Neurospora crassa OR74A: one gene and its partner. The protein of the gene in region 1 binds, or shares a complex with, the protein of each later gene. Links are inferred from orthologs where the notes say so. Each region holds a gene or a part of one and is shown in the gene's direction. Other genes may lie near its edges.

The links.
Region 2: the proteins of NCU02414 (region 1) and NCU04344 are in contact, whole or in part, in a cryo-EM structure (PDB 6QG0), measured with the Saccharomyces cerevisiae proteins. The link is inferred for Neurospora crassa OR74A from reciprocal best matches to the Saccharomyces cerevisiae genes GCD6 and GCN3. Residues at the interface, in NP_010497.3 of Saccharomyces cerevisiae: Glu321, Lys327, Val331, Val332, Leu333, Ala334, Gln335, Ser336, Cys337, Ile339; in NP_012951.1 of Saccharomyces cerevisiae: Asp122, Phe146, Arg148, Phe149, Arg150, Ile174, Pro175.

What each region holds. Positions count from the first base shown.
Region 1 is NC_026507.1:2,573,072-2,577,609, reverse strand, and holds the start of NCU02414 (translation initiation factor eif-2b epsilon subunit), read left to right. Parts: upstream 1-1,616; 5' UTR 1,617-1,838; coding exon 1,839-1,997; intron 1,998-2,081; coding exon 2,082-4,163; 3' UTR 4,164-4,538. UniProt on the Saccharomyces cerevisiae protein: Acts as a catalytic component of the translation initiation factor 2B (eIF2B) complex, which catalyzes the exchange of GDP for GTP on eukaryotic initiation factor 2 (eIF2) and is regulated by phosphorylated eIF2.
Region 2 is NC_026504.1:3,704,072-3,707,970, forward strand, and holds NCU04344 (translation initiation factor eIF-2B alpha subunit), read left to right. Parts: upstream 1-1,452; 5' UTR 1,453-1,770; coding exon 1,771-1,850; intron 1,851-1,947; coding exon 1,948-2,902; 3' UTR 2,903-3,282; downstream 3,283-3,899. Other genes in the region: NCU04345 (adaptin ear-binding coat-associated protein 2), read right to left, coding at 1-695; egt-1 (DUF323 domain-containing protein), read right to left, coding at 3,369-3,813, 3,882-3,899. UniProt on the Saccharomyces cerevisiae protein: Acts as a component of the translation initiation factor 2B (eIF2B) complex, which catalyzes the exchange of GDP for GTP on the eukaryotic initiation factor 2 (eIF2) complex gamma subunit.

The sequences.
Region 1 (4,538 bases):
GGTACTAACTATATACAAGGAGTATATTATTTATAAGGCGCTTCGGACGTATACTAAGATGGATTATAAAGAGATTGCTGCCGCCCTCAATTTTACTATTAAATAAGTTCAATATACTTATCTCGTTAAGGCTATCCCTTATTACAATTCGGGGGGTAGACCCCTTACCATTCCGCCGGCCGTTGTTAATATTCTCTTTTAGTATATAAATACCCCTATAAAATCGAAAAGATTCTTATTGTAGGTAAAATTGGGGAAGTATATATTTAAATTTAATAGCTACGGTTGCGAGGCTATTTAAGCTGCAATAGAGATTTAGGGTGTCCGTTGCATTGAATAACTAATTTATCTTCCTCTAAGCGATAAGACCTGTCGTTTCCACTTTAAATTTGCTTTATGGTACGCCGGCTTTACCCTATTGGAATAGGAGATTTGGATTTAGTTTAATGAGACGTAGGTAAATAGCGTTACTTAAAGCTGTTATTTCGTTACCCTTTTTAAGGATGAGAAGGTTAGCGACTTCGTTAAAATTAAAATTAGAGTTCGGGGATGGATATTTTAGATTTACTTTATAGGTAAAAAAAAGGGTACATTCCTCTTTTGGAATTATAAGGATTGGGGTACGATTACTAGCGATATTTACTAGAAGTATGTCTTCCCTTTTCTGCGGTAATTTTGGTAAGAGAATTCGTTTTTTGTCGTTATGTAAGACAATGCACTAGCTTATAGTTCGAAGTTAACGAAGGTATTTATAAAGGATGCTTTTGTTGGCGCTACTATTGTCGATTGGCCGCCCTACTCCCTTGATTTTAATTCTATTGAGAACGTTTGGGCCTTTATGAAGAGATGGATTGAGTGTGAATACCTAATTAGACTGATTGGGAATAGCTTTAAATTGGCTATCGAGAAGGCTTGGGAGGTTGTATTAGAGGACTACTTACTTTGCTTAGTATATTTAATGCCTAGAAGGCTTGAGGCGGTTATTAAGGCAAAAGGCGGGTATACCGACTATTGATTTGGCTGAGGTTACGGTTACAATTGTGGTATTTGAGAATCCCTGGTTTTAGTATGTGAAATTGATTGATTTACGGTAGCTTTGTTGTCCCTGTTCTTCCTGTGCGGGCCTCGTATGCGTAATTTGATTGGATTTATCCCTAGTCGCCTCCCTTGTCAAAACCCCTGTATGTACCGAGCTAACGAACTTTCCAGGGCTCAAGTGTACTATTCACACTACTTAGTACCTTCCCTTTCATACATGTTGCCGTTTTTGTGCGGCCAAGGGAGATGCTAAGCACTATCGTGTTGTAGTGTACACGACTAGGACACGAAGTACTGTTCAGTGCCGGTGCTATGATGTGCTTGATGCGGCTACTTCAGTTGTCATGATCGATATGATGGGAGCCCAAATGCGGCTAGTGATTTCCAACGCCACAATTTTCCACTGATGAAAGTTACCACCTGTAAGGCTCAGTGCAGTTGGTACGCGGTACGGTAAACTTAAGGCCCCGATGGTACGTACAAGCCACAGGTGATAGCCCTGCGCCCCACCTCCAAGCATGCAGTACCTTACGGAAAACACAATGTGAAAGTTTGGACAAATTGGGTCACTGCGTTGACTCATCATTGCAAGGTTTTGGTACCGCACGGCGGCCGAGGCAGGCGCATCATCAACCCCAGCTTTGAAGTTCAAACGCGCCGTTCTTGACATTGTGCAGCCCCACCTTTTTCCTTCTACCACAGTCTTCCCCGCGCTTCCCGATCCGCGGCCACTTACTCAACCAGGCCCTCGTCGACCCATTCCTGTAGAGTTCGAGCTGATAAATAGACTTCAGTTGGCAATGTCGGGCAAGCAAGTCAGCAAGGGCGGGGCTGCCAATAAGTCCAAAAAGCCCGCCAAGGGCGGCGCCGAGGAGAAGAGAGAAGATGCTCTCCAGGCCGTCATCCTCGCCGATTCTTTCCAAGATCGCTTTCAGCCTTTCGCGCTTGAAAAGCCCAGGGTAAATGCCTTCATGCTTCGTGCTAAATGCTTCGTGTCCCTTGTCCCTGGTGACCTCTGAGTACTGACGGCCTTCTCCTGACAGTGTCTCCTTCCGTTGGTCAACGTGCCCGTTATCGAATACACGCTCGAGTATCTAGCCTCCAACGGCGTCCAGGAGGTCTTCATCTACTGCGGCGCCCACTCCGAAGACGTCGAAACCTACATCCACGACTCTGACCGATGGAGCCCTGAAAGCAATCTCTGCCCCTTCTCTTCTGTCGACTTCATCCGCGTGTCCGACGCAAGCTCCATCGGTGACTTTTTGCGAGATCTTGACAAGCGCAGTCTTATCTCGGGTGACTTCATTCTGATTCATGGCGATGTTGTCGCAAACATCCCCCTCGATGGTATTCTGGCTAGGCACCGCGCAAGGAGAGAGGCCAACAGAGACGCCTGCATGACCATCGTCTTGCGCTCAACAGGAGACAGCCCTCACCGGACTGCAAAGGCCCGGGGCATTACTCCTGTCTTTGTTGTCGACCCCACCAACGGCCGTTGTCTGCAATATGAAGAGATGCACCCACTTCAGAAGGACAAGTATGTCAAGTTGGACGAGTCGGTATTCGAGTATGCTGAGTTCGACTTACGCACCGATCTGATCGATTGTGGCATCGATATTTGCACGCCAGATGTTTTGGCCTTGTGGTCCGAGAGCTTCGACTACGAGCTTCCCCGCAAGAACTTCCTTCACGGCGTACTGAAAGACTGGGAGCTCAACGGCAAGATCATCAGCGCCGAGATTCTTGAGGAAGGCTACGGGGCTCGCGCCAGCAACCTTCAGATGTATGATTGCATCAGCAAGGATATCCTCCACCGCTGGGCGCTACCGTATGTCCCCGATAGCAACCTTCTTCACGGACAAACTTACAAGTACAAACGGGGTCTGTGGTTAGAGGATGGCGCACACATCGCAAAAAACAGCACAGTAACCAAATCCGTACTAGGGAAGACCGCCTATGTCGACACCGGCAGCACAATCTCGAGCAGTATCATCGGAAGGAGGTGCCAGATCGGAAAGAACGTGAGGATAGAGAACAGCTATATCTGGGATGACGCGGTCATCGAAGACGGTGCTACTGTTCTGCATTCCATTGTAGCCAACGATGCAGTCATTGGTAAGCACAGCTACATTCCTCAAGGCTCTCTCATCTCCTACGGTGTGCGGATCAGCGCCGGAACACAACTCTCATCCAAACCCCTACCGAGAATATCCCTCTTTACCAGTGAAAGAGAGCCGGTCAAGACCGACATCAAACTGGTCGGAAACGATGGCAAGGGAGCCCAATATAAAGAGCCAGAAGACGACGAGGATAGTGACTCCGAGGATGAAGGCGATGCGGACCCCGCAGTTCTCCAAAGCTCTCTCATTTACTCTTTGGCTGGCCTCAACATTTCAAGCGAGTCCATCTCCACATTAGCGACCCATGACTCCGATGATGACCTCTCGGATGACGAGTACGAGCAAGGCCTCCAAGCCAAGACCAACCGGGAGCGCCTATCCTCCTTCGCGTCTGACGATTCCGCTGCCGCCGTCATGAAGCTCGACCAGTTTCATGGTGACGCTGTTCACGGACTTGTAGATGCCCTCCGTGCTGACGACAACGAGGATTTCGACTCTGCGAAGCTGGAGTTCATGGGTTTGAGACTGGCCAATAATGCTTCGGACAGCATGATGCGCAAGGCCATTGCCGTAGCCTTTGCCACTCGCGCCGCCGAGCTCATGAGTCCCGAAAACGGCGGTCTTGAGCCTACCAAGGCCGCTGGCCGGGCTCTTACGTCCAAGAAGGGTGCCGTCAAGTTCATTACAGAGGTTGGCGTCGGCGGAAACAAGGTCGATCTCCACGCTGAGTTTGCCCTCGCGTTGCAGAAAGCTTTGGCAGCCATTAAGGGGCTTGATTCTGCGCGCGCAGGAACGCTACTTGCCGCCATGCTGCAGCAGCTTTATAACTTGGACGTTCTCGAGGAGGAAGGTATTCTCGCCTGGTGGGCGGATGCCAGGGCTGCAGAGAATGATACACTCTCCAAGATCAAGGAGAGGAGTCGTGTGCTGGTCGAATGGCTGGAGAATGCAGATGAGGAGGATAGCAACGAAGACAGTGATGAAGAGGATGAGGATAGTGACTAGATGGGTTATCAATGGAAGTGCATGCTCAAGAGGGATGGATTATTTGGAAGAAGGAAGCAAGGGTGGAAGAACGAAAAGGGGGAGGTGTAGATGAACTTATACCCGCAGCACCTGCGACCTCGAGATATTGCTTGTGTTCTCTTTTTGGGAAGGGGAGAATGGATGGACGGGAAAATGAAGGAAAATTTGACATCCGCATACTCCTCGCTCTCAACACATCTTCCTTTGTATGAGCACGAATGCCTGTGATAATTTTATGAACTACACTGAGCAGCCTTACTAAAATGATGGCCTGAGTGCTCTCAGCATACAGGTTGTATAGGTGAGCGTCGTCAAGAATACTAGGTCGCAACAGTCAGAACCACCCATGCATGC
Region 2 (3,899 bases), on another chromosome or scaffold:
GTCGACGATGGAGGAGGAGGGAGCGAAAAGGCCGACAAAGGAGGCTGTGAATTGCTGTCCAGGTCCGTCGACAAGGGGCGATCCTGCCTTGCTCTCCTCCCAAACTTGGTCCCGCTCAAGTTCACCGTGATCGTTTCGCCCTCCTTCAAGCTATAATCCTTCTTCTCCTCGGCCTCCTGTTTCTTGCTTGACTTGATCAGGGGCGCCACGCCCTCGATGAGGCCCAGCGACTTTTGCGCCTCCTGCAGGGCCACGCCAAAGTCGAAAGACTCGCTGCGCTCCTCGAAGCCGACGCCGAGCATGGCCTTCTTGCCGGTGGTGGGATCCTGCACGCGCAGGGCAAAGAAGCGGCTGCTGTCGATGGTGGCCTCGACGACGGCCTGGGTGGTGTAGGGGGCGGCGGCGATCAGGTCGTTTGTGGCAGGGTCCTCGAGCACAATGTCGACCTTGACCGTGTCCTTCTCTCCAATCTGCTCGGGCGTCTGCGGCGGGATCGAGGTCTCGATGATGCGCACGCGGCCGGTGAAGATGTGCGCCTTGGGGTCGGCGGTCCAGTCGGCGGCCATGTGGCCCTTGGTCGAGCGCATAGGGGGGATCTGGTAGATGTGGACCGAGGAGGAGGTGATGTGGAGGATGCGCTGGATGGCATCGGCCGGGAGGGGGGCCTGCGTGGCCGGGTCTATGAGGGTCGTCATGATGTGTGTTGTGTTATGGTGGTGGTGGTGGTGGTCACGGTCGTAATGGTGTTTCTGTCCTTGTGATTTGCTTGCTAGCGTACCTAGTCCCTATGTCGGCAACTTATAGTCGACGCTCAACAGGAAGCCAGGGGGGGAAGAAGAAGAAGAAGAAGAAGAGACTGAAGCCAACATCGCCAACCAACGGGTCCATACACCTAGGTAGTTTCAAATGCCCGATGAAGAAAGAGACAATGACGGTAAAGGGTCCTCCGCTACTGTAGAAACCCCTAAGTTAGCTTCACATTCCCCTTGCTGCCCCTGTTCCATGGAAGCGGACGGCGGGGCGGAAGCCACAGGAAGTACCTAACAGTGGTAGCAGCGCAGATGCCAGGGGCAGCCTGGAGTAGAAAGGATCCACGCAGCCCCAGGGGGGACCCTCAGTGTTTCGACCCTGTAAAGAGCCCCCGAAAGGTCCGTGAGGTGACTGGTGGGCGGCGGTGACAAGCCGCAACACCTGGCATGGAAATCACCCAGGGCAGCAACAACCCCGCTAGGTAGTAGTGTACACTAGCAGCTGCCGATAGCGGGGCACATACCTAGCGGGCATGAAATGGAAACAAAGAATGGCCGGAGAGCTTCGTTGACGTGCAGTAGGTACACTCAGTAGTAGGTACGCATTGAGGACGGTGAGTGGCGGCAGAATACTTCAAAGGGCCGCCCGCACTTGGGAATTTGGGATGAAGAAGGTTACATGTACAGCTAGTAGAGGTAGGTACGCATCTTGAGTCACACTTTCAGATCAGACCAGACGCACGCTTCTTCAGAAAACGCTGCATTTTATCGACTCTGCATACCACAAACCAGATCATTGTCGCAATACATAAACCTGTACGATTTGACAAAGCCAAAACCTGCCTGCCTGCTCCAAGTCTCCCAAGTGACTAAAACACCCCGAACCCTCCCCACTTGGATCGACCGCCGCAACAGTGCTTCCTCCCGGGAGGACTTGTATGTTTTGGCAACGAAAACCACTTCCCACACCTTCACAATATCAACACACTTTGTCGTCTTCTCCAACAACCCCCATAGAAACATGGCCACCGACGACCTATCCAACAAGCCGCTCGCGGTACGGACGACATCGTCCACCTCCACTGATGGCGCCTCGTTCGAGTGAGTTTGCTTTGGCGTAATTACCACACGCGTCATAACCAAACCGCGCTGAACCCTTTCGTCGCATTGCTTGCCTCTGACCAAGACAAACAAACAGCATCGTCAAAACCTACCGCGACCTCCTCACCTCCGACCCCGACATGACTATGCCCGTAGCAGCCATCGAATCGCTCATCGAGCTCTTGCGCGTCACCCCTTCCTCAACAGCCATGGAAACCGTCGAGGTCGTCAAGACCCAAAAGGCCCTCCTCCTCGACTCGGCCCCGAACCCTCTCCCTCTGCTAGCCGGCGCCGACCTCTTCGAGCAGTACCTTCTCCGGTCGCTTAGAGGGCAGACCGCCGAGTCCTTCGACGAGACGAAGCGCCACCTGCTCAACAACCGCCAGCTCTTTGCCGCCCGCGCCAAGGCCGCCCGCGACAACATTGCCGTCATCGGTTCCCGCTACATGTCGCACCGCAAGATCGTCCTGGCCGCCGGCGGTTCGCGGGTGGTGACCAAGATCCTGGTGCACGCCGCCACGACCCGGACCAACACGCACTTCAAGGTCATTTACGTCATGGACGGCAGTCCGCACTGCGACGCCAGCGTCTCGGCCCTGCGCGACGCCGGCCTGGAGGTGGAGACCATCTCGACCTCCAAGGTGGCCTACGTCCTCAAGGACCAAAAGGACATCAACATCGTCCTCGTCGGCAGCGAGGTCGTCATGCAAAACGGCGGCATCATCTCGCGCATGGGCACTTCGCAGCTTGCTCTGCTCACGCGCTTCGCGGGCGGCTCGCAGAAGCGCTTCTTGGTTGCTGCGGAAAGTCACAAGATTGTGCGCAAGACGCCCCTCTGGCACCCACAGGTGTTGAGGGTCGGCGTCAAGCAGAAGGATATCAGCAAGTTTGACAACGTGGGCGTTGACCCTGTAGGCCAAGAGGCGAGGGATTGGGTGGCGGATCGCGATGAGGTGGATTATACCGATCCGGAGCTGATTGATGGCATTGTGACGGAGCAGGGAGTGAAGCAGCCGAGTCAGATTTGGGAGTTGGTTGATTATGAGAAGTGAGGGGGGTCTTGCTGCCCGATACTGAAGGTGAAAGGTGTTGAAAAGCGTGGGTAACAAAAGGGCGGTTTTATGAATGGATGGATGGATGGATGGAACTGCTTGATCATTTTCAAGTTATCGGTGTGGTTACTGTGGTAAATATCCTTGCAGCATTATTAGGCGTTTTTAACGGGAAATGGGATAGGTACCTGATATCCTTTGGAGGTTTGGTTGATGAAAGAGTCTCTTTTCTCACTTGCTTGGCCTGTGAAGGAAAACAAAGTACGTGCTAAAGTTAAACCAGGGATGCCTGATCGAGTGGAGTGACATATGAAACCACCCCATTCATATACATGTAGTTGACCGAAATTTCATAACCAAGAAAAAGATACCCATCTGAGTACTAACCAAGACTGCGCTATTCACGTCGTCTTCACTTTCCAACCAGCCATAGTCCACCACCCATTACACATACAAACACAACGACTCACAAATCCCTAACAACTCTCGCCCCCACCCAAGCATAAGGATAATTCCTCTGGTACCAATTCACAAAGCTCTTCCTCCCCGCAATCCTCGGATGCGTAGCCCAGCTCCCTCCCAGCACAATGTTGTGCTTCTCATCGAAAAAATCCGCCGTATAGCCGGGGTACAGCTCCATCGGCTCGAACCCCTCCCACTTGCGGAGGACCGATGAAGTCCATTCCCACACGCCGCCGAGCTCGCCTTGCCCGACAAGGGTGTTGCCTTTGGAGGTGATGGGCATAGGGTGCCAGTTGTGAAAACCGACATTGGCACCGTCTAGGTCAGAGAAGAGGTCTTCGGTGGTGATGAGGGTGGTGTTGCTGTCGGAGGGGGAGGAAGACTCGGCGGGGGTCTCGGAAGAGGGAGAGGATGGGGGAGTGATTTCCACGCCGTTGTTGGTTAGGTGGCTGTTTATCAATGGGAAAGATATTGTTAGTGCGAGCTGGACACGGGAGAGTAAGTCGAAGGGACATACGCATTAACAGCCGGAACC